7 linked regions of the Cricetulus griseus genome follow. The protein of the gene in region 4 interacts with the protein of the main gene of each other region in a pairwise test. Links are inferred from orthologs where the notes say so. Each region holds a gene or a part of one and is shown on either strand. Other genes may lie near its edges. The genes, in order: Htt, Emilin1, Washc3, Ift20, Disc1, Nup54 and Exoc7.

Evidence for each region.
Region 1: the proteins of Ift20 (region 4) and Htt interact in binary tests that used the Homo sapiens proteins (3 or more experiments, as listed by UniProt). The link is inferred for Cricetulus griseus from reciprocal best matches to the Homo sapiens genes IFT20 and HTT.
Region 2: the proteins of Ift20 (region 4) and Emilin1 interact in binary tests that used the Homo sapiens proteins (3 or more experiments, as listed by UniProt). The two-hybrid records come from large-scale screens. The link is inferred for Cricetulus griseus from reciprocal best matches to the Homo sapiens genes IFT20 and EMILIN1.
Region 3: the proteins of Ift20 (region 4) and Washc3 interact in binary tests that used the Homo sapiens proteins (3 or more experiments, as listed by UniProt). The two-hybrid records come from large-scale screens. The link is inferred for Cricetulus griseus from reciprocal best matches to the Homo sapiens genes IFT20 and WASHC3.
Region 5: the proteins of Ift20 (region 4) and Disc1 interact in binary tests that used the Homo sapiens proteins (3 or more experiments, as listed by UniProt). The link is inferred for Cricetulus griseus from reciprocal best matches to the Homo sapiens genes IFT20 and DISC1.
Region 6: the proteins of Ift20 (region 4) and Nup54 interact in binary tests that used the Homo sapiens proteins (3 or more experiments, as listed by UniProt). The two-hybrid records come from large-scale screens. The link is inferred for Cricetulus griseus from reciprocal best matches to the Homo sapiens genes IFT20 and NUP54.
Region 7: the proteins of Ift20 (region 4) and Exoc7 interact in binary tests that used the Homo sapiens proteins (3 or more experiments, as listed by UniProt). The two-hybrid records come from large-scale screens. The link is inferred for Cricetulus griseus from reciprocal best matches to the Homo sapiens genes IFT20 and EXOC7.

What each region holds. Positions count from the first base shown.
Region 1 is NW_023276807.1:103,746,839-103,750,980, reverse strand, and holds the start of Htt (huntingtin), read right to left. Parts: upstream 2,801-4,142; coding exon 2,559-2,800; intron 1-2,558.
Region 2 is NC_048600.1:13,459,272-13,463,508, forward strand, and holds the start of Emilin1 (EMILIN-1), read right to left. Parts: upstream 2,801-4,237; 5' UTR 2,338-2,800; coding exon 2,168-2,337; intron 1,331-2,167; exon of another isoform or gene 1,313-1,330; coding exon 1,187-1,312; intron 776-1,186; coding exon 555-775; intron 1-554. UniProt on the Homo sapiens protein: Involved in elastic and collagen fibers formation. It is required for EFEMP2 deposition into the extracellular matrix, and collagen network assembly and cross-linking via protein-lysine 6-oxidase/LOX activity.
Region 3 is NW_023276806.1:154,207,198-154,211,123, reverse strand, and holds the start of Washc3 (WASH complex subunit 3), read right to left. Parts: upstream 2,801-3,926; 5' UTR 2,682-2,800; coding exon 2,631-2,681; intron 1,872-2,630; coding exon 1,773-1,871; intron 1-1,772. UniProt on the Homo sapiens protein: Acts as a component of the WASH core complex that functions as a nucleation-promoting factor (NPF) at the surface of endosomes, where it recruits and activates the Arp2/3 complex to induce actin polymerization, playing a key role in the fission of tubules that serve as transport intermediates during endosome sorting.
Region 4 is NC_048600.1:91,930,950-91,934,224, reverse strand, and holds the end of Ift20 (intraflagellar transport protein 20 homolog), read right to left. Parts: intron 2,222-3,275; coding exon 2,136-2,221; intron 1,158-2,135; coding exon 1,054-1,157; intron 646-1,053; coding exon 564-645; 3' UTR 501-563; downstream 1-500. UniProt on the Homo sapiens protein: Part of intraflagellar transport (IFT) particles involved in ciliary process assembly. May play a role in the trafficking of ciliary membrane proteins from the Golgi complex to the cilium.
Region 5 is NC_048596.1:201,882,762-201,886,261, reverse strand, and holds part of Disc1 (disrupted in schizophrenia 1 protein), read right to left. Parts: intron 2,085-3,500; coding exon 1,849-2,084; intron 1-1,848. UniProt on the Homo sapiens protein: Involved in the regulation of multiple aspects of embryonic and adult neurogenesis. Required for neural progenitor proliferation in the ventrical/subventrical zone during embryonic brain development and in the adult dentate gyrus of the hippocampus.
Region 6 is NW_023276807.1:157,236,986-157,241,018, forward strand, and holds the start of Nup54 (nucleoporin p54), read right to left. Parts: upstream 2,801-4,033; 5' UTR 2,709-2,800; coding exon 2,642-2,708; intron 2,053-2,641; coding exon 1,891-2,052; intron 1-1,890. UniProt on the Homo sapiens protein: Component of the nuclear pore complex, a complex required for the trafficking across the nuclear membrane.
Region 7 is NC_048600.1:128,883,115-128,886,614, forward strand, and holds part of Exoc7 (exocyst complex component 7), read right to left. Parts: intron 3,079-3,500; coding exon 2,933-3,078; intron 2,692-2,932; coding exon 2,539-2,691; intron 2,247-2,538; coding exon 2,148-2,246; intron 1,820-2,147; coding exon 1,757-1,819; intron 1,461-1,756; coding exon 1,394-1,460; intron 1-1,393. UniProt on the Homo sapiens protein: Component of the exocyst complex involved in the docking of exocytic vesicles with fusion sites on the plasma membrane.

The sequences.
Region 1 (4,142 bases), on a different chromosome or scaffold from region 4:
TAAAATCCGCAGCTAGAATAATGCTAGGCAAACAGGAGATGATCAGCAAATATTGGTAAATGAATGACTACAATCAGGAAAAATGAGGTAGGAATCTGAAGAGTGAAAAAGGTTAAAAGTGAATGTCAACTGCTTAAGGCCCATCAGACCCCCCACAGCCAGTCCCAAAGAGCTCCTGCATCCTATACACTGATCAGAGAAAGGAGCTCTCAGCTATTTCAACAGAAGCCCACGCACGGCTGTGACACTAGTTCTCTGTAACACAATGAGAGCCATAAAAATAGAACAGATTTATTCTAAAATTGTTTTGGCTGGTCTCAATTTGGAGGAAAAGAAGGGGGGGGCTTTTAACTGAAGCAAGTGGACAAAAATGCCAAAATTGAAGCTTCCAATCAGTATGTTTGTTACTTATCATTAATGAACACCTGTTTTTCCAACAGCAAAGTATACAGAAACAGGAGATATATGCTTTTAGTTAAAATAAATACAAGCCTAATGCAGCTGATTATGGGAAATATTCCAGTTAGTTCTTGCTATACAGTGAACTAACAAGGTTTTAAAACTTTTAAAAGCTTTCGTTCCAAACTACTTTTGTCTATAAATAATTTAAAAATCTGTCCTAACATATGCCCAGATTTTATCTGAAAGGACACATAATGAGTAACAGTGCTTGCTACTGCGGACAGAGTTAGGCACTCAGGAGAATGGGGAGGGAGATGTTTTACTATTTAACCTTTCCTAACTTTGGAACTGGACCATGTTAATGAATTACTTATGCAAAAACAGATTGAATTTGTGCTTGAAGCAGCTGGAGAGAAATCACCCTACCCCACCCCGCCCCAACCCTCCCTTACAGAAGATATGAGGAATATGTGAACTTGCACAATTCCTAACACCCAGAGAGACAGAGTCGTGTTAAGAATCTAATAATTAGAAAATACTTATACAGCCAGGCATGGTGGCACATGCCTTTAATCCCAGCACTGAAGAGACAGGGGCAGGAGGATAGATATCTGTGAGTTCCAGGTCAGCCAGAGTTACACAGTGAGACTGTCTCAAAATATATTACTTATCTAAAGGGAAAGATTTTTCTACTCAAACCCTCTTTGACCTTATAGAAGAAAAATTTATTCCTATATTTTATTCTATCAAATAAGCCAACATTTTTCCCCAAATCTTCATTTAAAAAAAAACAACAACAAAAAACTAGATTCCCAGGGCAGCAAAAAGGATCCTATCAGAAGCACAAGAACAAGAAAAATTACTAAAAATAGGCTGGGAATATAGCTCAGTGGTAAAGCACTTGCCCAGCATGTGTGAGGCCTTAAGCTAAATTCCCAGCAACAAAACAATTTTTTTCCTAAATGAGGATTAATAATGGGATTCTTCAGTAGGTTGTTTCCTGAAAGTTCTCCTTATTAATTATAGAAATCCACATTAGAAATAAAATGTCCAGTTGAAAGGCCTGAACTGCAAGAAAGTACAGGGCTGAACACTCATCGTGGACTTCCAGGAAATGTCTTGATCATCATTTTCTTTTTTAAGACTATTGTTATTCATGGTCTCTCTTCTGTTTCAAATATTCTCACCAGTCACATGCAGCAAGCTTCTGAAGGATGACAAGATGTCAGCAAAGAATTAAATAGGAATTTTTTTCACTGGCACACAGAGTGGCCCATGTTCTAAAAACAAGTCTGACTGTAACACTGATAAAAATCATTCCCTGATGTAAACTGCGCATCACCAACATGTCCATTTTATTTCCAGCAGAAAATATAGGCAATAAATATCAATCGACATACATACATACACACACACACACACACACACACACACACACACACATATATATATATATGACACAGAGACATATAATTTTTATTAATAATCACACCTAAGTAACTCATCATGTACTTGACAACCACAGTTCATCCAATTACCTGCAGGCCAATAGGAGCATACAGAAACATACCTCTCCAGTGATGCTTAAAACCTTGTTACTACACTGTAACATGAACTAAACGAAACACCAGGAGAATATAAAGCGCCTGAAGTCACAGGCTGCTTCAAGTGTCACTTGGAAAAAGAATATCCAATTTGGATGGTTCACATTCCCCCACCCTCAGCACTCCCGCTGAGGCCTCCTAAAAGCATTATGTCATCCACTATCCGCACATCACTCGCGCTGTCCTGCGCTCCCAGCATCTAGGCCTACCTAAGGAGGCGACCCGGGAGACAGGTCTCGCCCTCTCCAAGTTCTCTTGGAGTCATGTGAGCCACAGCCCCAGTTTCTCCCGAAGACAGAAACAAGTTCGCTCCCTAACTTCACAAGCTAAGAAGGGCGAAAGCACTGGGGGCGAGACGCCCCTCGGCGAGTCCGCCGCAGGCCTGACCAGGCTCTGCCTCCAGTGAGGAAAGCTAAAGACCCCCACAAGGCGAGGACCCGGGCCAGGAAGAGGACTGGCGACCCTCTCTCTGGGCAGGGAATCGCGCTGGCTGTCTCCAGCACGCAGGCCAGGGGAGCGGCCCAGGGCAGGAGCTGCGGCGCCCGGACTCACGGTCGGTGCAGCGGCTCCTCGGCCGGACCGGGCAGCGGCGGTGGGGGCGGTGCAAGCGGTGGCGCCTGACCCTGAGGCGGCGGCTGAGGGGGCTGAGGCGGCGGCGGTGGTGGTGGTGGCGGCTGCTGCTGCTGCTGCTGTTGCTGTTGCTGCTGCTGCTGCTGCTGCTGCTGTTGCTGCTGCTGCTGCTGAAACGACTTGAGCGACTCGAAAGCCTTCATCAGCTTTTCCAGGGTTGCCATGACGGCCTCCTGCCCGGCGGGACAGACCCCGAAGGCTTGGAGCCTAGTCGCCCTCAGCGGCGCCACTTAGCAGCGGGGAAATGAATGGGGATCTGCGCGGCGGGCAGAAGCGGAACCAAAGCGCCCAGCCATCTTGGGCCCGTCCCGGCAACCCCCGCGGCGCCTGCGTCCTGTGACGTCATGCCGACGGAAGAGAGGCCACGCCGGATCCGCAGATTTGACAGGCCGAAGCGTCATTTTTCCCAATGCCTGGTTGTAAGCATGCCGGGCCTCTGCCAACTTGCTAAGAATCTCCGCCCCTACGATATGACCCCGCCCCTCTCCGGCAAACCAAGCCTCTGATTGGAGGGAGCGGGGAGAGAGCGTGATGAGGTAGGCGGGGCGGGTTGCTAGATGAGGGGCGGAGCTGAACCAAGAGTGGGTTTGAGGGGAGTGGCCGAGCACTAGATTAGGAGTTACAGGACAGAAAAAAGAGGCGGGCGGAGGAGTTGGCAACTCAGTAGGGTTTGGGGAGACATGGAAGACTAAGAGGTTGGAAAGGGGAAGGGCAGCAAAGAAATTTCCCTGCAGAAAGCCACCCATGGCGGTGGTGGTGCTCAGAACCCGAAACCCAGAGAGGCACTCATTGTCCGCAAGCTGACAGATGGCCTGCTATACAGTCCCGAATGCAGTATGCTAAGGGCTCCCTGAAATGAGAAGGGAACCAGAGTGACCTTTATGCAGGACCAAAGAACCCTTGTGATCCGTGGACCCCTGAAGCACTGGTTAGCTCAGACATGAAAGCCTATAAAAAAAAAAAAAAAAAAAAAAAAAAAAAAAAAGGCGGCACCAGACGATGTGCTGTGGAGGAAGCTGATAAAGGGTTCCAAACAAGTAGCAGTGCCTGCAGCCCAAAGAGAGGCTGGGGTTAGTGCAACTCTGATCGGACACTTCAACTTCACAGTGCTGGACCATGGCACTGCTCTGGTCATCAGCCAGAACCTACAAGGGGCCTCATCGCCACCAGAGCTGAGGTCCTTGTCTCCAGAATCTCCATCTCCCACTGGTGAGCAATTAAACAGGAAGCTTAGAATAGTATGGATACACCCAGCTCCTTCAGCCTGTCCAGCAAAAGGTGTTGGCTTCAGAGAGATCTGACTGGAGGTGATGCATTTAGTTAGGAACCCATTTAAGCTCTTCAGGCTACCCCTAAGACTCAAGAGCCCTATTCCATGGCCATGAGAAACTCCTCCATCTTCTCAAAATGGCCAAGTACACAGGAGCCAACACTACCCATGGGAGGTATAAGCAGCCAACCCCTGTTAAACTGAGGACAGCAGAGAAAGTCTTTAGAATTCCATGT
Region 2 (4,237 bases), about 78 Mb from region 4:
AGTTCAGTTATCTCTTTGGCAGGAAAAGAGCGGGCATCCGGTGTGCCTAGCCTAGCACATACACACAAGAGGAAAGAAAATGCAACAGGGACTATTGCATTAGGGAGGTCTGCAGTCTCCAGGGGCCAGAATGGGGTGTGGGACCTGTAGTCAGGTGCAATGCATGCTAGGATTTGTAGTCTTAACCATCTTCAATGAGGACAGACAGAGTTTCTCAAAGGAATTCCCCACTTCTCCCACAGCCTTTCCTACTAGGAAGGACCTTGGCCGCGAGAGGGCGTATGTGAGTAAATCCTCTCTATGTCTTCTTACTCGGCTCTAGGTTTTCAGGTCTTTCAATCAATCTACCCTCACTCCTGTCCCCCACTATCCCCCCCACCACACACATTCAGACCATGAAAGCATAAACACATTCAGAATCTCAGACTCGTCATTACTTCCTTTCTGTCTGCCTCCTAATTTAGAGCACAGAGGTTTCCCTCCACAGTCAGGCCCCACATTTACCACCCCAGTAACTTGTAACAAGTTACAACCCTAGTAACTTGTGGACTCACCTTCTCCCCCTAATCCACTGAGGTGGCTGCCTGCACTGGAGCCAGACAGATTGGGGCGCACAGGCCTGGGCCGGGGGTGTGGTGTGGAGGGTGCAGGGCCCTGAGCAGAAGCAGGACCCTCTCCACAGTCATCGCCCCCATACCCCTGACAGCACCGCCACTCCATGTCTGTTACTGTCTTGTAGGCCACTCTGTAGCGAGGGCGAAGGAAGCTCCGGTACCTGGCCAGAGGAAAGGAAAGCTTTGTATTTTCTCGGTTCTGGTTCTGTCAGTCACCTTGTTCTTCAGGTTGTTCTCACTCTCTAGCCAGTATGTGTGTGGCCTTGCTCACTTGACAGCTATCAGCTTTTTAGTTAAATCTGGGCTCTTCCTCCCCTTTCCCTGTGCTAGAATCAGAGTTCATTGCTATGAGGACAACCTGTCCAACAGAAGGCCTGAAGGTTGCAGACAAGGGAGGTACATTTGTAGCAGCTCGCCAGCTGAGCCAGGACCCTAATACCTTCTCAAAACAGTCTGATTGGTTTGTCCTGCCCCCTGCCCCTGATTTGTAAAGAGACCCTGAGTAGCTACCAGTTGTCTGTCCTTGCCCAGCTCACACTGAGGACCCAATCCCTTAGTGTTGGGGGGCTCACATGATACTTCGGGGACACTGGGACTGGCCCCAGCCACAGGGTTGATAGTCTGGCTTGACAAAGGTCTCCACTCCATCCTCAAGGACGCAGCTCACTGTCCGAGTCACCACGTAGGCACACCAGTTCCTGTAGGCACAACCCTACCTGGGCCAAAGGACCAAAGACACAAGCCCTGGTGGGCCCAGAGGCTGAAGGAAGGTCAAAAGATGAAGGGGCCTTGAGGACAGTGAAAGTGAGGGGTTTGAGAGGGTAGCCCCCAATCCACTTCTTGTGTCACCATAGATAAAAGCTTTTCAAGACAGGGAGGGTGTGATGACAAAAACACACAGAGAAGTCAGTCCTCATGACTGTGGGGTCCTAGGCACCCAGGGAAATCACGGGCCCTCTTGCCCTTCCTTGGGCTTGTCTCAAGCCCCCAAACAACTGGGATACTGGAAATAATCCTCTGCACATGGTGCTTCCACCCACCCCTCAAGGAGGAGAGCAGGGGCAGGCAGATGTCAGGCCTATGGTTAAGTAGAGAATAAGCCACCGACAGAGTCTGTGCCCCTGGGGTTTGCGGTGCTGTATTCTTGGCCCCATTCACACTGGCTTCTCATCTGTGGGCTGCTGTGGAGCCAGAGGGAGCAGCGCAGGAGGAGTTATACATTAGCAGATGGGACTGAGGAAGCCCTAGAGAAGGACAAAAGGACTGCCTGATCCAGAGCTGGCTGGCACACAGCTGGCAAGAAGGTCTGGTCCATGCCCCTCAGTGCAGTTTCCCTGGGCACCCAACTGCAAGTCTTCATAGGGAAGAGGGGTGTAAGCTGATCCCCCTTAGGCCACCAAAGCCCCAGAGAAAGGCCATATGTGAGGGCCATTGATGAGTGGGAGTCTTCATGCTCCTCCTCATTGCATTAGAGGTATAGCCGGTTGCCAACTTCTGAGGACTTTCCTGATCACAGTCTCCAGCCCTGGCTGGGAACACAGAGTCTTTCTTACCTGTGGCGGCTGGCAGGCCGTGGAGAGTTCTGGGTCTGGGGTCCCCCGGGGCTGAGGGCCGAACTGCCCCCTGTGTAGAGGCTGTAACCTCGAGGAGGGTAGCTGGCAGCTTTCGTGGCTACGGTCAGCAGATAGCAGAGATAGCAGCTCCAGAGGGTACTGGGGGCCATGGTGAGGTGTTCCTTGCCGCCCTTAGAGACACATCCCGACTTGACCACTGGTGCCTAGACCCGCGCCTCCACGGGATGCCGCTGCTTCAGGGGACAGCCCGCTAAGCCAGTTCAGTCCTAGCTTCCTGCCTGCAGCCCCCAAGCCACACGCCTCCTCCTTGGCTGCTAGGCCTGACCCTTCTATCCCCCTCCTCTTTCCTCCTCAGGCTCCTGTCTGTCCCTCCCTCAGTTCCTTCCGCTCTCCTCTTCTGCACTTCTGAGGGGAGTCTGTTCTCTGGGCCCCTGGCCTCCTGTGCCTGGTCCCTGCCCCTCTCAGAGGCAGTTTCCTGAGCCTCCACCCCCTGGCTCCAGCTGGCCCTCTTCTCGTCTCCCTGTTCTGTTCCCTGGTGACTGATCCTAAGGATGACAGAGCTTTGCCCCTGTGGCTGTTAAGAGGCACAAAAGTGACCATGGGCGGGCCAGCCTCCTCCCTCCCCTCCCCTCTCTCTCCTCCCTTCCCCCTGTCTGGCTGGCGGTCCAGCCTCCCTCTTCCTCCCCCACCTCTCCAACCATCGTGCGCCACATCTGCTTCTTGTTAACTCCGGGAAAGAGGGGGGCAAAAAAAAAAAAAAAAAAAAAAAAAAGGAAAAACAGAGAAATGTGGAGTTGCCGCCGGGCTTGAGGCCAACCTCTCAGACAGGCCACATGGAGCTGGGGCCAAATCTGGATAGGAGGCCCAGAGCTGGTGTCTAGGACCAGAACCAGCGCCAGAGTCCCAGCTCCCCTGGGTCAGTGAGAACAGGACCCTTGAGAGAAGAAGAGAGAGGTACCCTGAGGACAGGAGGAAGGCAGGGAGTAGCACACGTGGGGGGCTCAGCAGGACCTCATCACCCTTGGGTCCTTCTGCCTCTTTTTAGAGGCTCACAATGAGAAAGCAGTTCATTGTCCAAGGTGACACAGCAAGTCAATAACACGGCTGAGATTAGACTTTAGGCGACTCTAGTGACTCAGGAAAAAAAAAAAAGGAGGTGGGGGGTGTGAGGGGAAAGAACTCCATGGAGACATGGGAAACCTGAGAGAAAGAGAGAGAGAGAGAGAGAGAGAGAGAGAGAGAGAGAGAGAGAGAGGAGAGAGGAGAGAGAGAGAGAAGAGAAGAGAAGAGGAATGAATCAGAAAACAAAGAGCCGTCTTTTCTTGTACAATGACTGCCATTGGTAAAGGTCAGGCTATAACCCTATAACCAGGAGGGATGATTACAGTGATGGTAGAGGTAAGACTTGGTTGCTCTCTGGTTTGGAGGTCAGTCAACCTCTCTGTTACCTACAGAAAGCTCTTGGTGAGCTGACTGCTGCCTCTTTTCTGGACCTGCCACTCCCAGGGGACGAGAAGGGGGAAGCTGCAGTACCAGACAGACAACAGCAACAAGAGGCTGCTGTGTGCCAGGCACTGGAGAGGTGCCGGGGTTGCAAAGGCAAGCCTAAAAGTCTGTCACTGTCCATTAAGGAACAACTTGGGTTTTGGAGAAAGGAACAGGGCCCCCAGACAGACAGCCACAGAGGCAGGACAGACCAATTGCCAAGAGGCCAGGACAAAGTGATGATGTGTGTTCTGGCTAAGAGGAGGGGAGAGACAGCTGGCTGCTGGGGGTAGGAGGAAAAGCTGCTGGAAAAGGCAGAGCTTGAACAGTGTGTGGAGGAAAGGAGGGAGGAGTGAAGGACAAGACAAGGGACAGGCAGAGAATTCAGGCTCAGGGAACATGATCCGCCTCAGTTTCTTCCTCAAACACAGGGATAATATAACCTCATCCATCTTAGGCTTGTGAGGATTAATACAATTAAAACATTTCAGAATAGTGCCCAGAACTTAGTATATGTTCACTCTTTTTTTTTTTTTTTTTAAACACTGGAACTTGTGGTAATCC
Region 3 (3,926 bases), on a different chromosome or scaffold from region 4:
TATTTGAATTAGAAACAAGATTGTTTTACATGGCAATCCCAGTTCCCTTCTCCCTCTCATTCTCCCCTTCTACCCCCCCCAACTAAAACTCTACCTATCACATATCTTTTTTGCTCCCCCTGGATGGTGATGCCTTCCATAGGGTGTCGTCAGAGTCTATCATACCCTTTGGGATAGGGCCTAAACCCACCCCTGTGTGTCTTGGCTCAGGGAGTATTCCTCTATGTGGAATGGGCTCCCAAAGTCCACACCTATGCTAGCGATAAGTACTGAACTACTACAGCAGGTCCCGTAGATTTCCGAGGTTTCTTCACTGAAACCCATGTTCCTGGGGTCTGGAGCAGTCCCATGCTGGTATCCTAGCTATCAGTCTGGGGACCAAGAGTTCCCTGATGTTCAGGTCAGCTGTTTCTGTGAGTTTCACCATCCTGGTCTGGACCCCTTTGCTCTTCACTTGTCCTTCTCTGCGTCTGGATTCCAGTTCAGTTTAGTGGTTAGTTGTTCTACCAGTGCTTCTATTTAGAGAAGCAACGGTATAAGAGAGACCAGATTGAAAACATGGCTTGGCAGCTGAGAACACTCATACTTGCAAAGGAACCAGAATTGACGGCCAGCATCCACATGGTGGCTCATAACTGTCCATAGCAACAGTTCTAGGGGATCTCATGCCCTCTTCTGACCCATGTAGGCATCAGACATGCATGTAGTGGACAGACAAACATGTGAGACCCTCACACACATAAAATAAAAGTAAATCTTAAATTTCTGAAAAGACCAAAACAAATGAGAGAGAGAGAGAGAGAGAGAGAGAGAGAGAGAGAGAGAGAGAGAGACTCCTCACTATATCATTAGTGATTACATTTGGAGGAAACGCTAAAGACATTGTGATGAAGAAATAAAAACAACAGTTGGGACTATCAATGTTACTCAGAGGCAGAGTGCATGCCTACCCCATTCAAGACCTTACTCAGAATCCACAACTTTATAAACAGCTCGAATTTTACACAAATGACAAGTCTCCTATCTGCAAGCAATCCTGATTAACAGTTACATATCTAACTTTGTTAAGGGTTTGCCTTGTATAAGACAATATAAGATAACATTGCATTGATTCAGCTGGGACTAATCTAGAAATCTCTTCTATTTCCTTTCTTAAATTCAGTTTCAATATATATTCTCCATTTTCCTCCTCATCCAAAAAAAAAAAAAAAAAAAAAAAAAAAAAAAAACCCAAACCAAACCAAATAAAAACCTTTCTCAAAGATCAGGCGGGGGTCCTGAACCTGGCACCTAATTCTTAATTATGTGTTTAATTTTTACTGCACAGGTTATCCAGACATTTGCAGAAGGGTATTTTTTTTTTAAAAAAATGTATTTCTAGGCTTCCTCCCTGAACCACTTTGGCTCAAAGAATGCAAAGTAATTTAATATAAACACAAACATATACTTAAAATATAAAACTCTGGAGTAGGAAAATGAAAAACTTTAAAATAAAAAATTCAACTGTGAAATTATTTGTGTGTGTTTCTCATAATTATAAAAAACTTTATTGAGCTCACAGAAACGCCTAGAATATGAATTCAGTTGAGGGATACAGGACTGATGGTAACAGAATAGAAGAGACGCCAAGGTGTCTTAACACAATTGGAGAAGGTCTTGGCAATGTGAATAAATGAAAGCTGTAATTTTTGCTTCGCTCTGTTAACCTGAAAGGTGGAAGATGACTTCTCAACTACTCCATAAACTAGTAGTAGCACAGGACCTGGACCTACCTCCTCACAAACTGTGGAAAACCGGTTGAGAAACTGCACCGTGTGCACCACAAACTGGTTTAGAAAGGCCACGGTCCTTTTCTGTTGAATAGCTGGCACCTGTGTTACATAAAAACAAGCAAATATGATTCTTACAGGAGAGACATACACTGTGCAATCCTCTCGATATCTGTTTCGTAAAGACTATGATTTTGCCCTGTGACATGAATTTCATGGAGGGCTGAGAACAGTCCCTGACTTGTTTTCCTGAACCGTGTGTGTGTCAAAGTGACAGGGGCTGCAAAAGTTTGAGAGTGTGCTACACACACACACACACACACACACACACACACACACACACACACACACACACAAGGGAGGGAGCAAGGGAGGAGGAGAGAGGAGAGAGGGAGAGAGGAGAGAGACAGAGAGGGAGAGGAGGAGGGGGAGACGGAGGGAGGGAGAGAGAGAGAGAGAGAGAGAGAGAGAGAGAGAGAGAGAGAGAGAGAGAGAGAGGAGGGAGAGAGGGAGGGAGGAGGGAGGAGGGCAGAGAGAGAGAGAGAGAGAGAGAGAGAGAGAGAGAGAGAGAGAGAGAGAGATTGAGGATCAGAGAGGTAGTGTTAGAAGTGGCACTATTTCCAGACTGTCAGCCTTGGCTCAGAGTCACATGATGTGGGGAGCGAAGGCTGCGAGGCACATCAACTCTTTAATTAGCTCAGGAGGGAACCCTTCGAAAGTGGACTGCGGGGCTCCCCCTTCCCTAGGCTAGCAAAAAGGGGCCCGGGTTGGGCCTGGAGAGGTGGTGTCTCCCGGGGAACCGGGGCCCCTTGGCCAAGCTACTTCCCTGTTCGCCGGAAGCTTAAGTCATCTTTTACAAACCTTGGTCAGGTCTATGCCTGACCCCATAAGAGGAAGCCCATCCTCATCCATCTCCACAGCAGATGGGGACACCGGGGCTCAGGCACAAGCCCCTCACAGCCCGGTAGAAAACCCCGACTCCCCTTCCCAAGTTCCTGCCTCCGGGGCCTTTCCGGAAGAAAGATCCCGAGCCCACCAATCAATCAGTGGCTTCAGAGAGTCCGCCCCTTCACTCTCGCTCAGCATTCTGGGATTGGTAGTTCAAGGAGCTGATTGTAAAGCGGGCCTGAGAATCACTGCTGAAGAGCTGATGCTATTTTAGGGGTGGGGGGGACCTCTGCCTCCAAAGAATAGTGAAGACATGCAGAATCTTGATGTGCAAAATTTAGGTGAAAGTTGTGGCACTGTAAATTAACATATACAAACCCTTGTGTCTCCATGGGTACATGCACCCACATGGACTCAAAGCACTGTGGTGCTGTAGACGATAGGCGCTTCTAAGTTGTCCAAGCAAAGAAGAGGAAACCAGCTTTAGTAGCTACTTAACTTTAAGAAGAGCTAAGATGACAATCTGACCGGGCTGTGGTGGCGCATGCCTTTAATACCAACACTCTGGAGGCAGAAGCAGGTGGAGCTCTGTGAGTTTGAGGCCAGCCTGGTCTACTGACTGAGCTCCAAGACAGCCTCCAAAGCTACAGAGAAACCCTGTTTTGAAATTCACCCCCATCCCCACCCCCAAATGACAATCTGGAGCCAGGCACTGGTGGTGCACGCCTTTAGTTCCAGCACTCGGGAGGCTCTGTGAGTTCGAAGCCAGCCTGGTCTACAGCGCAAGTTCCAGGACAGGCTCCAAAGCTACAGAGAAACCCTTATCTCAAAAAACAAACAAAACACCAACAGCAACAAAACACGACAATCTGGAATGAGGAGTATAGTATGGAGGGCAAAGGGAAAGCTGTTTGGTGGTATTAGCAGAGATAGGGAATAATGAGAAATAAGACGGAAATAGACACAAAGAGCTGATGAAGGACCTTTTATACCAGAATAAGAGCCATGTTTTTCTAAATGGGATTCATGGGCCGCTGGTTGGGAATGCTTCTTAAAAGGCCTGCTCCATAGGAAGACTTGGTGGACTTTGCAGAGCCCCCGTTGAGGGCCCTACCCTGCCTGGGGAGTGGTGGGTGGATGGGGGTGGGGGGTGGGCTGGGGGAGGAGGTTTGGGGGTGGGGGAGGGAGAGGGAGAAGGGACTTGAAATAAGCTTCTTCCCTAACTAGAACTAATAAAACAAAAACAAAAACAAAAACAAAAACAAAAAA
Region 4 (3,275 bases):
TGTCCCAGGGTGTCTGCTGTTCCACTGGCTCTCCTTATAGAAACAAGGTTGGTGGGTGTTTTTGCTTGCAAGCCATATTGCTCTGGTTATTACTGTCTGACTTGTGTGTATGGTCCAAATAAAGGTAGCTGCTGATCTCTGCCTGGTTTGTTGTGTGGATGGGGGTTACAACACTTGAATTTTCAGAGGAGCTGGTAATGTACACAGCACCAAAGAAGAAAGAACACACCATTTGCAAAGGGTATTTATTGCTTTTCATTGAGAGCTTTTTGAGGGGAAAAAAAAAATGGGTCAAATTTTACAGGCTGTTTAGTTTGTGCTGAGAATGCAAGAGGTGAGGCCCTGCTCTGCCCTGCCACTAGCAGTGGCCAGACACTGTTTACCAGTTGCCCCAGAGGTACCCCAGATGGGAATACTGCCTCCTTACACTGACATTACATACTTGGTCATCAGTCAGTCACTGGAATAGTACAAAGGGTTATTTTGTTTGTTTGGGAATCTTTTTTTTTTTTTTTTTTTTTTTTTTTTTTTGCCTTCCTGCTATAAATAATGAAAATTTCAGTTCATTTCTGAAAAATAAATTGGTCAATAAATTCATTTTGTTCTGCTTCTACTTTACACAAAGCTTCATATTCAACTCGATACCTGAAAAACAAAATTGTTAGAAGCCCTAAAAAGAATGAAATAAAAACAGGACAATTCTTTGAGAGTATAGAGCTTTAAACAGTTGTAAGAAATAGTGAGCTGAGAACGAAGTCAGGGCAAGAATAAAATGAGCAAAGCCCTACTCAGAGCCATCCAGGAGAAACCTCCATTCCCAGGGAAGGTACGGAGGTGGCCTCAGCCCTTGTTACAGGAACCAGTGCTCAAACTATGGGAGGTCATCTGGAATTAATCAATTAATCCCTACTTTCTTCATATCAAATGTAATTTTTAAAAAGCTTCAGGATACCCAGTGAGATGCTCTACCTGGGGAATGATTTAGAAAGACAAGGTGATCCAGAAGGAAAATGAGAATCTGCAGTTGAGCACTGGCTTGATGTGGCTGCTTACCTTTCTAACTGCATTTTCTTTTCTGCTATTAGCGCTTGCAGTTGCTGCTGTTGGGCTTCTCTCTGCTTTGCTATGGATTTGAGCAAGTTCCGAGCACCGATGGCCTAAGAAACAGCATTGCCAAAGAAGGCATGGTTTTAAACTCAAAGAGGGAAAGGCCACTAGGGAAGGGAAGAGAGAAAGGAGCCCCATGGTTTTAATGGTTAGGACTATTAACCCACTGATCCCAAAGTGCCTGGTGAAAAATAACAGAAGGAAGTCCTCTGGCCTGCAAGTGTATGTAGTGGCCTACTGGGGAGTGGGGGGTGGGGGTGGGGCATCACTTATGCCTTTTACCAAGTCATCTGTACCTGGCAATCTTTCATGTCTTTGTTTATAAAAGGAGGGTAAACACCCACTAGTACTACCATGAAGATCAAAAGAAGGGCAAGTGTGGACTGAAGAGAGGACTCAGTGGTTAAGAGCACTGGTTGCTCTTGGAGAGGAGCCAAGTTCAGTTCTGCAGGCACCCACATGGTGGTTAAACAGTATCTATAACTTCAGTTCCAGGGAATCCAATACCCTCTCTGACCTCCAAGGGCACGGACACCCGGCGCGCGCGCGCACACACACGCACGCACGCACGCACGCACGCACGCACGCACGCGCACACACACACACACACACACACACACACACACGTAGGCAAAACAGTCATACACGTAAATCAATCTAGATATCTAAGGACTGGAGAGATGACTGAGTCATTAAAAGCACTAGCTGTGTTTCCAGAGGACCTAGGTTCAATTACCAGCCCTCAACAGCAAGTCACACCCAAATATTTCTAATTCTAGTTCCAGAGGATCTGAAACCTTCTGGCCTCTAGACACACACAAGTATGTGCACAGACATTCATGCAGACAAGCATTCATTCACATGAAATGAATCTTTAAAAAAAAAAAAAAAAACCACTGGCATATAAGCTCACCATGTTAACTAGGCCAGCATCTGTTATTAAATTCCCGTGTTAAATAAATGAGGCTACCATCCCTACAATAAAGACAAGGCCTGGTTTCCTGGCAAAGACCAACAGCTGATCTTACCTTCATCTTCTCATTCTCTGCTTCTTTCGCAAGCTGATCAACAAGCTCAATTAGACCACCAACTATTTTCTGAAACTGGCCAATTTCTTCAAGGAAAAGAACAAAACATTCTTATTAGCATTCCTTTGAAGTAGGGAGGGCAGAACTAACTGCCCTTTCTAATCTGTGTTACAGCAGCCTGGTACATATGAACCTAAGCCTCCCACCACTGGTCTCACCTAGAAAAGAGGGACCATTACAGAGCTAGACTCTGAGCATAAGCTCCAGGGCTTTCAATAAAAGGTGGTGTGAAAATCCCTGCCTGCAACCTAGCTGGTAGAAAGCTCAAATCAATCATTTAGGTGCCCCATTTCCCATTCACTTTTTCCAGTACTCTTGATATGTTGGAGCCCTGTTTTATTTTATGAAAATAAGGCCAGAGAAGCAGGCCACAGCATACACCAACCACTAAACTGGAAACAGACACCAAGCAACCTGTCATGAAACCATGGCCCAGAAATCTCTTGCTTCAGCTGAGTGTGCGACACAAGCTGGAGCCCCAGCACTAGGAAGGCTAAGTTGGAATCATGAGTTTGAAGCCAACATACAACATACATAGTGAGACCCTCAAAAAAAGGGAAAGAAAATTCCCTTGCTCCAACTTAATTTGTTTTGTTTTTTGTTGTTGTTGAGACAGGGTTTCTCAGTGGCTTTGGAGTCTGTCCTGGAACTATCTCTTGTAGACCAAGCTGGTCTCAAACTCACAGAGATCCACCTGCCTTTGCCTCCCTAGAGCTGGGATTAAAGGCGGGCACCACCACCGCCTGGCATGCTTGAGCTTAATTTGGCCTTTTCCACTGGCACTGGGCTGTCTTAGCAGCTAGGAAAGAAGGCCTCCTGGAGATTTGTAGCCCAAAGGTCACCACTGTGCTGAGCTGCTCCTGGAGACCTTAGTTACCACCTCTAAATCCAAGTAACACAGATCCTGCCACCAAGACTATTCTACCAAGAAATAAAATCAGAATATATAATTCCATTTCCCACCTCCAATTAATAATTCTTCCATCATCAATTTTAAGGTTGTTCATCTAAAAATAGCTCCCTCTCCCCTAGTCCACTGTATTGTTTGAGACTAAATTCGGAGCTCCATGGCAGCACAAG
Region 5 (3,500 bases), on a different chromosome or scaffold from region 4:
TTGCACTTGACTGATGCCAGAAAGCACCTGGAGTCTGAAGCTGGCTTCCATTGATGGTGTCGAGTTTGTGAGTGACAACAGCTGCCATGTTGATCTAGCCAGGTGTGGTGATGAGTCCCAGAACTCAAGAGGTGGAAACAGGAGGACAGACAGCCACAGTGAGGCTAGCTGAAACTAAAGAGTCTCCCCAAACAGTCAGCCAGAAATCACAGAATGAGGATCCCCACAGGTAGGGAGCACAGTGGCCCAGCAGAGTCCTAAGCCCTGACTGCACATCCCTGCCCATCCACAAGCACTCCTTTCCCACATGTGTAAGTGTGTCTTCCATGTGTCTCCAAAATGAGATTGAAACCCCTTAAGAGCAACAACTTAGAGGGCAGAAACAGGAGGATCCCTAGTTCAAGGCTAGCCTGAGATATACAGAGAACTAGAAGCCAGCCTGAGGTACATAGTGAGACCCTGTCTTTAAAAAAATTAAATACAACCTAGCAGATGTGTATATGTGTATTTCACAAGCTCTCTGCAGTGTAAAACATAGGAAAGACCCCTTCGTGATAGATGAGACACCACATTTGAGAAAGCAGGAATAGCAGTCTATCTGTTTTTCTCTCCTATTAACACTTTGGGCAGATTATCAATTTTTTAAATTATTAACCTTCTTAAACTACTTTTCACTGTCTGTAAAACAGACAGCATAATTGATGTGACCCACAAAGTAGCTCTGCCCAGGACCAGGCATTTGACATTGCTTAGCCAGCAACAGCAGCAACACAAGCTCATTCATCCCAGTGACCTGATAAAAAAATACTGCTTATGTTGCCCTCTTGGTTTATTTGTTCATTTGTTTGGAGTTTTTGTTTGGTTTGGTTTGGTTTGGGAGTTTTTAATTTGGTTGGTTGGTTGGCTGGTTGGTTGGGTTTTTTGTTTTGGTTTTTTGGGTGTGTGTGTGTGTGTGTGTGTGTGTGTGTGTGTGTGTGTGTGTGCGCGTGCAGAGGGAGGGTCATATATCTTCCTCAATCACATTCTGTCTCATCTTTGTAATATAGGGTCACTGAACCTGGAGCTCATTAATTCAGCTAAACTGGCTAGCCAGCAAGCCTTAGGGATCCTGAGTCTGCATTCTCAGAAATGGGGTTACACTGCACCCAGATTTCTATGTGGGTTCTGGGGATCCAAGATCAGGTCCTTGCGCTCATGCAGTAAATACTTTTGTAACTGAAAATCTCCCCAGCCAGCTCAGACTCTTCCGATGCCACAGCCTACCCCCCAAGTCACACTCTTCCAACGCCATGCCCTACCCCCCAAGTCACACTCTTCCAATGCCATGCCCTTTCCCCCAAGTCACACTCTTCCAATGCCATGCCCTTTCCCCCAAGTCACACTCTTTCAATGTCACATCCCATCCCCCAGGTCACATTCTTCCAATGCCATGCCCTATGCCCCAAGTCACACCCTTCTGATGTCACACCCTACCTCTTAGAAGTGAAATCTCTTTCCAGATAATTGTCTTCAGCAAAAGCCAATGTCAAAATCTCTATCCAACTGACCCCAAATTTGGGAGGGAAGGGGAAAGGAGAGACAAGCCAGCCCCTTGGAATTTTGGAAACTGCCTATTGGAGAGGGGACAGTGCTGGCAGCTAGGGATTGGGTGGACTGGATGCCAAATAACTCCCAGTGCTCAGAACTGACCCCGCAGTGAAGAATCTTACATCTCAACACCACCAGCACTTCCACTAAGCAAACAAACCACCTGAGAAGCACCTGTGAACAATGAATGGGCAGCAAAGCCATCTCAATAAACAGGTGAAAGAGGGAACGCTGGAAAATCAGTTAGAAAATCACCAATACCTCCTAAGGGTTTCAGGTGGCTCCACACAGAAAGGAGCCTGGCTGGCAGAGGTCAATGTCTCTCCCAAGGCCTTGCTGACTTCCTGCAGCTGTCCTGGGGACAGCTGGGCCACCAGTGGCATCAGATCACAGCCCTGCCACTGGAGCAGTGTCTCCTGATCCTCCAACTCTTGGCTCAGCTGTTGTTCTTTTGCCTCCAGCGCAGACATCCTTGATTGGAGAGCTTCGATTTCCTTCTGCAGAGAATGGGGGAACAGATTTCATCCATTAACCCTGCTCTGCTACTAATGAATCGGTTAAATGAGAGCAGGCCATATGCACCACAATCTCGGAGCCCACCCCACTCTTCCGAGGCAGGCCAATTCCAGAAGTCTGCTGAACTGGGAAAATCATGCCAGTTTTATGTTTCTGATGAGTTGGCAGGAAGAAAAACATCCTCTCCTTCCCAAGCATTAAATACGGACAAGCGCTAGCCAAGGTTTTGACTTGAGAGAACCCAGCAAATGATGTATCACTGGCTTCGCTTCTGATGGGGAAGCAAAGGCACTAGCCACTCACACCAAACACTGAGACACCAGCTGTGGGCCAGGAGGGGAAAGGGCAGCCTGCTCCCAAACACAAGAACTTAGGATGTACAAAAACACAAGAACCTTGGCTTGTCGGGTCAATAGGATTGGGAGAACAAGATTTGTCGAGCCAGAGTCTAGTGTCCTTCAGACTGTTGGACCAATTTACTTCCCAGGATTGGTGAGAGAACTCCATCAGTCAAGTGCTTGCCATGCAAGCATGAAGAGCTAGTTCTGATACCCAGAACCCATGCAAAAGCTGGGGACCCACAGAATGAATCTGCAAACCCAGCATAGGGTAAGGGGAGGTAGAAGACAGGAGGATGCCAGGGACTTGCTAGCCAGCCTGTCTAGCCCAATCAGTAAAGTGTAGATTCAGTGAGAAACCCTGTGTCAAAAAAATAATAATAATAAGGTAAAGGGATATTGGAGTAAATATCAAATATCAACTTCTGTCCTCCACATACATGTGCACATACATGCACCTGTGCCCACATTCAAACTCAAACACACACACACACACACACACACACACACACACACACACACACACACACACACACACAATTTGCCCTAATTTATTAAGCTGGAATCTAAGTTAATCCATAACCATCATCTGTCTCCAGGCCAAGAAATAAACAAGCAGCAGGTAATTGAACACAGTGTGAGCTCAGCACTGGGCAGATAGCCATCTCACTGCGTAGGAGTCTGAATATAACACCAGGCTCTACTAACGGACACACCCCCTGTTCCCTCACTGTTCCTAGCTGATAAGAGTACAGCTTAATTCCTGATATCTCCCTATCTCCAGGATGTTCTCTCCACCCACAGTGCAGATTCTCCACAGCTTCTACCTCCTGCACCCACCCAGAGAAGAGAGAGGGCTGAGCTAGCCCACAGTCTCAGTGTGCTCAACAGAAACTCAAAACTAACCACTCTGTGAAACCCACACTCTTTGTTGCTCTCATTTTTGTTTTGTTTTGTTTTGGTTTGGTTTTGGTTTTGTTTCTCAGAGTCAACATCTCACTCAGTAACTAGCCCAGAACTCATCTTATAGCCCAGGCTTGAACCTATAGCAATAAAGCC
Region 6 (4,033 bases), on a different chromosome or scaffold from region 4:
AATTTTTAAAAAGAGTATGGCAGTAGTTACCTATTCATAAATATGCTGCAAAAGACTTTGAAAACAAACATTTGAACCATAAATGCTGAGTTATACTCCAGGTTTTCTGAGATTCTAACTTGAACCTCATATATTTCTTGTAAATGGATAGCCTCATAAAGATTGCAACATAGAACAGGTGTGATGGTATGTGCCTGCAATCCCATTAAAGGAGCTAAAGCAAGATTAGAACTTCTAAATGAGCCTAGGCTACACAGTAAAAAGCTGTTTCAAAAAAATTTAACTAGTTTTAATCAATTTTGTGGTTCTGGGTATTAAATCCAGGACCTTGCATATAGTAGGCAGGCAAATACTCTATCATTAGGCTACACTCTCTGACCCTTAACAATACAATTCAGATTTAGAAAATTAGTGCATAGGCTATTGCACACACGTAACTCAGTGGAGTCTACTGCAATGCTGCCAGTTAAACATTTTGATGAAACACCTAAAATAAGTACTGTCTTTAGTTCCCTTTTAACTCCCTGCATTCAAAGAGTAACTGTTATTGACCACACAACAAAAACACTAGTTAGTAACTTACCACATTTTAAAATACCAAAAATGCTTTATTAGTAATAGTAGACCAGTATGGATACAAAAAATGTTGTTTTAAAGCTCTTTGCTGAGGCTAAATTAACATATTTGAAAGCAATCAAAACAATTATATTCATACAACTCAAAACTTTAACAGTGACAACTTCAAACGGACATGAAATCAAGCAAATACAAACAGGTTTATTTGTTGCTGTTGAACTATGTGGTTTGCTTTATTCTGAAACATAAATTTCAAAATAAGGTTTGCCCAGTGCCAATTTTAAGCAAAATAGGAAAAGCAAACACAGCAAGGGCAGTGATATGCAAACACTTCTAATGTATCTTAATGAGTCACTTTATCTTTGAAATTTTCAAGTGTATTTCACATTATTTTCAACTCATTGAATTGACACAATATCTGGCTCTCCAAGTAAGTTCAGGAAGAGATGTTTACCAAATGCAAATAATTGGCATGGGCAGAAGTGGCATAACATAGACTATGGACAGTAAATTCATATACGAGCAGCTGAGGGTCACGATTTTTTCAAGGGTCATTTATGCTGAGCTTTCATAAGCCTACTTTAAATTGGGACATACACACCCATCATATTTGTGTTCTGAAATCTTTTAGTATTCTTCAAACCCGTAGATTAAAAAAAAATCTTCGTAATTCTTTTCAAATGCAGAGATGTCTAGCTTGAGTTTTAGAACTCAATGTCATCTCGTAAATTACACTGCTCATAGAGACTTTCCCAAAAAATGGCAGCAAAGAATTGGAGATTCTTTCTATGATTCCATCTCTTACAGGAATACATACTAACGTGTTGATGGAAGAAAAACGTCATTATACAGATTGAAAAACAAGACAGGTCACCGCTGTTCGTATAAGACTTGTTTCTCTTGGAAACACAAGGACAATAAGATGAAATCCCGATGGAATATGTATAAAAAATGAAAAACGACTGCAGGAGTCCAAGAATCCCAGGGAAACGCTGAGCTTATACCGCAGCTAATAATTTGAAAAACATTCTATCCAAAATAAACTCCATTGCAAATTCTTATCATTTTGAAGCTGTACTCCGTATGATTAAATGCAAACCCAACAAAGGAGCATTTTAATTCTCAAGGCTGTCCAAAAAAAACCACATCTTTTAAGACAAGTCAAAACTTGACATACACTCAATTTGACCTCAGGAAACGAACCCTTCCCTTAGCAGACAAGTGCCATTTTTTTCCCTCAAACTCTAGGAACATCGGAACATTCTTGGACTCCAGCCCCCAACCCTCGTTACACACATGACCCGCAGTATCTACCTGCACTCGTCAGACTGTTACCAAAATTGAATGGAGTCGCCGAGGTGGTAGAAACACCGAAATTCCCAATATTAAAGTTCACTGCAGGGTTAGCAGTTAATCCGAAACCCCCAAAATTAAACCCACTGGCGGTGGAGTTGGCAGTCTCAAGCCCACCAAATCCTGATAGACGTGGAGGCAGAGAAAATTTGAAAACGTGAGAGGAGGGGAAGAGAAAAGGAAAAGAAAGCAAGATAAGAATTAACAAGAATCAGCAAGAGGTTTCACAGCGTGAATAAACCTGAGCGGCGCCGGAACCGGTTAAGAGAGCCAAGGAGGCGGGGACACACAGAGGAGCAAGGGCACCAGGGGCCGGGGTCAGCATCCCCCAGGCTGGGGAGGGAACGGAGGGCGCTGCGGGTAGCCTGGCTCCAGCCTTGGCCCTCTGGGCCGGGAGGCCGAGGCGGCCGAGGCGGCCGAGGGGTCGCGGGGCCCCAGGAAGGGAAGAGGGGCGTAGCCTCCCGGGCGGAGTCCCCGGTGGCGGGAAGCGACACGGCGGCCCGGCCACGCGGGATGCGCGCGCCCTGCGAGCCCCAGGCCCAGCCTGAGCAGCCCGCGGCCCTCCCACCTTCGCCGCCCGCCCTTTCCAAATGTCCTCACGGTGTCTCGCGTGCCAGGGCCACCACGGACCCCCAGCCGGACGGTATCGGACCGAGGGGGCGGGCCCAAGGCTTCCGTTCCTCGGAAGAAGGTGGTCCAGGGGCTGACTCACCCGCGGGTGCGGCGGTAGCTGCAGAGGTGCCAGAAGTGCCCGAAGGAGCCCCAAAATTGAAAGCCATGTCGCGGGAGCAGCGCTTAGGTTGTCCCGAGCTCCCGGGCTCCCGCGGCGCACCCGGACGCTCAGTGCTCACGGCTCTCCCGCCCGGTCGGGAAACGCGGGCTGTATCATTAGTTCCGCCTCCTCTCTGGCCGGACGGGAACGCCCCCCCCCCCGTTCTGCTCACTTCCGGGGGTGTGTTGTGGCTTCAAGTGGTTTGGGGCGTCACAACAAAGGGGAGATCAGGGGGAAGTAGGTGTGGAGGGTTGCCAGCTGGCTCTTAGAAGCCACCTTAGCGAGGTGAGCGGCTGCGGAGATTGCGTGCTTCAGGGTGTAACCGTGCCGCCCGGACCACCCAGCAGGGGGCCTTCCGGTAGGACATGAGGATGGAGGAGATGAAGCAGCTGGGAAAGGGGCGTTTAGGAGTGATGGAGAGATAATGGGGCTAGCAGTGACACGTGTGTGTGCTGTGTGGCACGCTCTCCAGTACTCGTCTCTGCATAGTTTACCACTGTCGTCGCTGAACAAAACGGAGGGCTGACCCGGATGAAGCAAATGAGCCCTTTAAATGCTAACGTCTGTGCCCTGCATCACATTTCTCGGGAACACTTAATCCTCAACCCCACAGAGAAGATTCTAATTGACTACTTTGCACAGGTGAGATGGGAGCGTTCCCAAAGTCATTTCGCTGGTTTATCCTGGAATCTAGTTTGGAACAAGATTTTTCTTGACTCAATTCTTATTTATTTATTTATTTATTTATTTATTTATTTATTATGTATACAGTCTTCGGCCTGCGTGCCAGCAGATGGTTGTGAGCCATCATGTGGTTGCTGGGAATTAAACTCAGGATCTCTGGAAGAACAGTGCTCCTAACCTCTGAGCCATCTCTCCGGCCCTGGTGTGTGCCACCAATGCTTGGCTCTTTTTCTTTTTTCTTTTCCTTTTAAAAATATTTATTGCGAAGCCGGGCGTTGGGGGCGCACGCCTTTAATCCCAGCACTCGGGAGGCAGAGACAGGCGGATCTCTGTGAGTTCGAGGCCAGCCTGGTCTCCAGAGAGAGTACCAGGATAGGCTCCAAAGCTACACAGAAAAACCCTGTCTCGAAAAACCAAATATATATATTGCGCCTGGCGTTAATGGTGCATACCTTTAATCCCAGCAGTCGGGAGGCAGAGGCAGGCGGATCTCTGTTGAGTTCCAGGTCATCCTGGTCTACAGAGCAAGTTCCGGGACAGGCTCCAAAGCAATACAGAGAAACCCTGTCTGGGAAAGCCTATATATATCACAGGGACTGAGTTATACCTATGATCTCAGCATTCAGGAGACATGGGCAGGAGGATTGA
Region 7 (3,500 bases), about 37 Mb from region 4:
TGCTGTTACTATGGTGGCAATGGCCAAGACCCTTGATGGCCCTTCCCATATCCCAGGGACAGAGGAGGAAGTGTTGGGACAGGCCCTGGGCTTGGTGGGGCAGGCAGGACTGAAGCAAGAGCTCAAGCAAAGACGGGCACCTGCTGAGCTACTGGAAGCACTGTGGACTCTTTCTGGATCCCGGGGCTGTCTTCTATAGTAATGGGTTAAGGAGCCAGCCCTTAACAGCAGGCAGGCAGGAAGGAGAGGTGTGGGCTACCGATGCCTTCCCAACCTTCCCAGCCTGGTCCCTACTGTAAGATGGGTGGTATCTATTAGATCCCTTTTACTTATTTGTCAACAGCAAGGATTTCTAGATAGGGTCACCTAGTCTTCCCAGTTTCTCCTCACAACTCTGAACCCCCCACCCCCAGCAGAGAGCTCTGATATAGAACAGAAGGCCAAAGGGAGGGGGTTAGGCTAGCCAGGGGGTGTTCTTGGGTTCTGGTTAGGTGGTGCCTGGATAGGCTTAGAGACAGAAGGGAGCTGAAGGGAATGGGGGGGGGGCGATGAGGGCCCCTTAAAAAACTCATACCCTGCCCCCAGTGGGTCCTGAGAACTAGTACCCTGGGAACCTCAACCACAGGGCTTTGGAGGGGAGGATGGGGCTGGGGGACCACACTGCTTACCTCGGGGGTCTAAAGGAATATTGTATGTGTCCCCGAGAACTACGGAGTGACAGGCAGTGCACACAGAGGGGGAGGAGGGAAACAGAGGAGGAAGAAAGATGCAAAGTGCAAAAAACAGGTTAGAAATGGCTGTGTCACCCCAAGCCAAGCAGACCTTTCCCCCATGGCAGCCAGACACAGACAGCAGCACACACCAAACCAAACTAACTCAAGACCAGAAACACACTGGAAAGTGCAGCCCAAGAGAACTGGGAGCTCCTTGGCTTCTTGCCCACCAAATAAAAACAAATGGAGGGCCCCAGGACCTCAGTTCTTGGAATGACCCAAGCTCTCTTTACATGCCAGCATCCCAGCTCCAGTCCCACCAGGGGGCAGCGAGGAGGTGGAGCAACAGAATAGGCAGACAACAGGAGGGAGTGGAGAAGAGTGGCAGTGTGGAGGGACAGGATGAGACCTGAGCCCTGCAGTGCCCACCCCAGAGCACTGACAGCCAAAGGAGCAAGCAACGGGTGGGGTTCCTAAGAATGCCAACAAACCCACAACTCCTTATGCTGATTCTCCAGAAATCCATGGGCTTAGACTTCCCCACAGGCCATGTCTTAGTCCTATTCCATGGGCTTGGGGAAACCCCTCATCACACCCTGCCCGCACCTACAGCAAGTAAGTGCCTACTAGGGGCCTAACTCTATACCCCCAAAGCAGCCCCCAGCACAGGGGTCATGTACCTTGGGAGGCCAGCATGGCACCCGCTGTCTCCTGGAAGTCCAGAAGCTGCTGTAGGAAAAGGATGGCCTGGGAGAGAGAACACATCCAAGAGGGTTGGGGGTCGCCCAAGGAAATGGCTTCCCACACAGAGCCTTTCCAACCAGCAGGGCAAGTCTGCGGCAGCGGTCTTTATAGCGACAAGAGCAACTGGAGATTTCAGGTGTTACCTTGGGCTCTGGCTGCCTGCACTACTGAAACTAACCCTTTACCACAAATGAAGCCCAGGAGCTCTGGGCAGGCTGGGTTCCCACTAGTGGTGTTGCCCCCAGGGCCTGAGCTGGGTGCTCTCTGTCCCACCTCTGCAGTGTTTGGGCGGCACCTACGTTGCTTGTGAGCTCGTGAACTGTGCCGTCCTTAGGCATGTTGTACTCTTTGTCTGGGTCATTCTGTGGGAAGAAAAAGAACAGCCGCTGGTTCCTGGATAGGGAGTTCCCCCAGCCTGAGTCCCAGTTAGCCTGCCTATGGCGCCACCTCCTGGTCATGGGTGTTAGGCTGTCCCTCAGTCTCAGGGCTTGGGGCCCACAAAAGAAACAGAGGTGCCCAGAGGGTCTCCCCTGCAAACCAGCAGTGGGGGGTGGGGTGGGGGGTGGGAGGGAGGTGTGTGCGGCTTTTCTACAGAGCAAACCTGACTCTCTTGAAGGCCTGCTCTCTGAGGAGTCCCAGGAGCTCAATGAGCAAGCCAGGCCTGGTGAAAGAGAAAGGGGTTGCAGGTACCTTAATGTTGTCGGCAAAGTCTTCTAGTGCTTTGGCTCCAACGGTCTCCATGGAGGTGATGAGGCCGGGCAGCTTGTTCTTGGTGCTGGCTGCTGTGCCCTGAGGAAGGACATGGCAACTGACATATTTATTCAGAGTCAGGCTCACTACTCCCTCCAGCAAGCTGTGAGTCTAACTTCTTCTAGGTCCTTCACCCTCACTCCAGAGGCTGCATTCTCCAGCTCAGGATTAACTACGCTCTTCTCTTTCCCTGTGAGCATCTTAAGCTGTCCACAGCCTCCCAGGAGTCACCTCAGAGGACAGGTGGGAGGAGGGCCTGGAACAGAGCTCCCCAGAACCGAGTACAGGGGAGCGGGGGCGGGGGGGGGGGGGAGAAGAAAGGCCCACACACCTGGAGCACCTGATCAAACTCAGGCTTGGTCTGCTTGAGGTGCCGCAGGATGGGGAAGACCGTGAGCACTGTGGAGAAGTCGTGGCGGATGATGGCTTTCCTGGCAGCAGACACAATGTTCTCCCCCTCAAGCATCAGTCCGTCCAGGGCATCCTGGGGGAAGGACAAGGACCCTGCTCAGGCAGGGGCAGAGCACAGCTGGTCCCTAGGAACAGCGGGGCACCCTGTGGGTGTGCAGGGGAGCTAACAAGCTGTGAAGGGTGGGGGAGGGGTCATGGACTACACCAAAGAATCCAGGGCTTAGGGCAACAGGCCTACCACGCCCTCCAGATTCTGCAGTAAGTCACTGCAGAATGGGTCAGTGCTCGGAGCTGCAGGGTGGGCAGGGTGAGACCTGAATCAAGGAGTCAAAGGTTCTCTTCTGGTGGAGCTCCGGGATGATGAGAGTCAGCAGGTGGTATTCACTCTGGGCCAGCTTGACAAAGGCGCTGACACAGTGAATGTAGGCATCCGTTTCCACATCCAGCATGTCATCTCTCCCTAGGGGGACAGCAGTGCCCCTGAGTGGCCGGTCTGGGAGATGCCACTCACTCTGCTGGGGTCTGAGTTTCTCCAGCTCCTGGGCTGAGCCCAGACCAGCAGTGAATGGAAAGAGCAGGCTATTGTGACAGGATGCCCCAAGAGCTGCTCTGGCAGGCCTGGGAGAGCAGGCGCCACGTCCAAACGTTCTCCTGGTATCACTTTCCACTCGGCATAGGCCGTGTTTATGGCCCCAGATCAAACACTAGAGGTGGTGGGAAAAAGCTAGAAGGAAGGAAAATTCCTAAACCAACTCCCTGGGTAGTTATCTGACCCCAAGCATGAGGATTCTGGATTGTGTTTGGAAGAGGACAGTCTGGACTGGGCAGGTGGCAGTGTCATTTTATGGAGGCAGTCATTGTGGTCCTCAATCTGGGAGATGT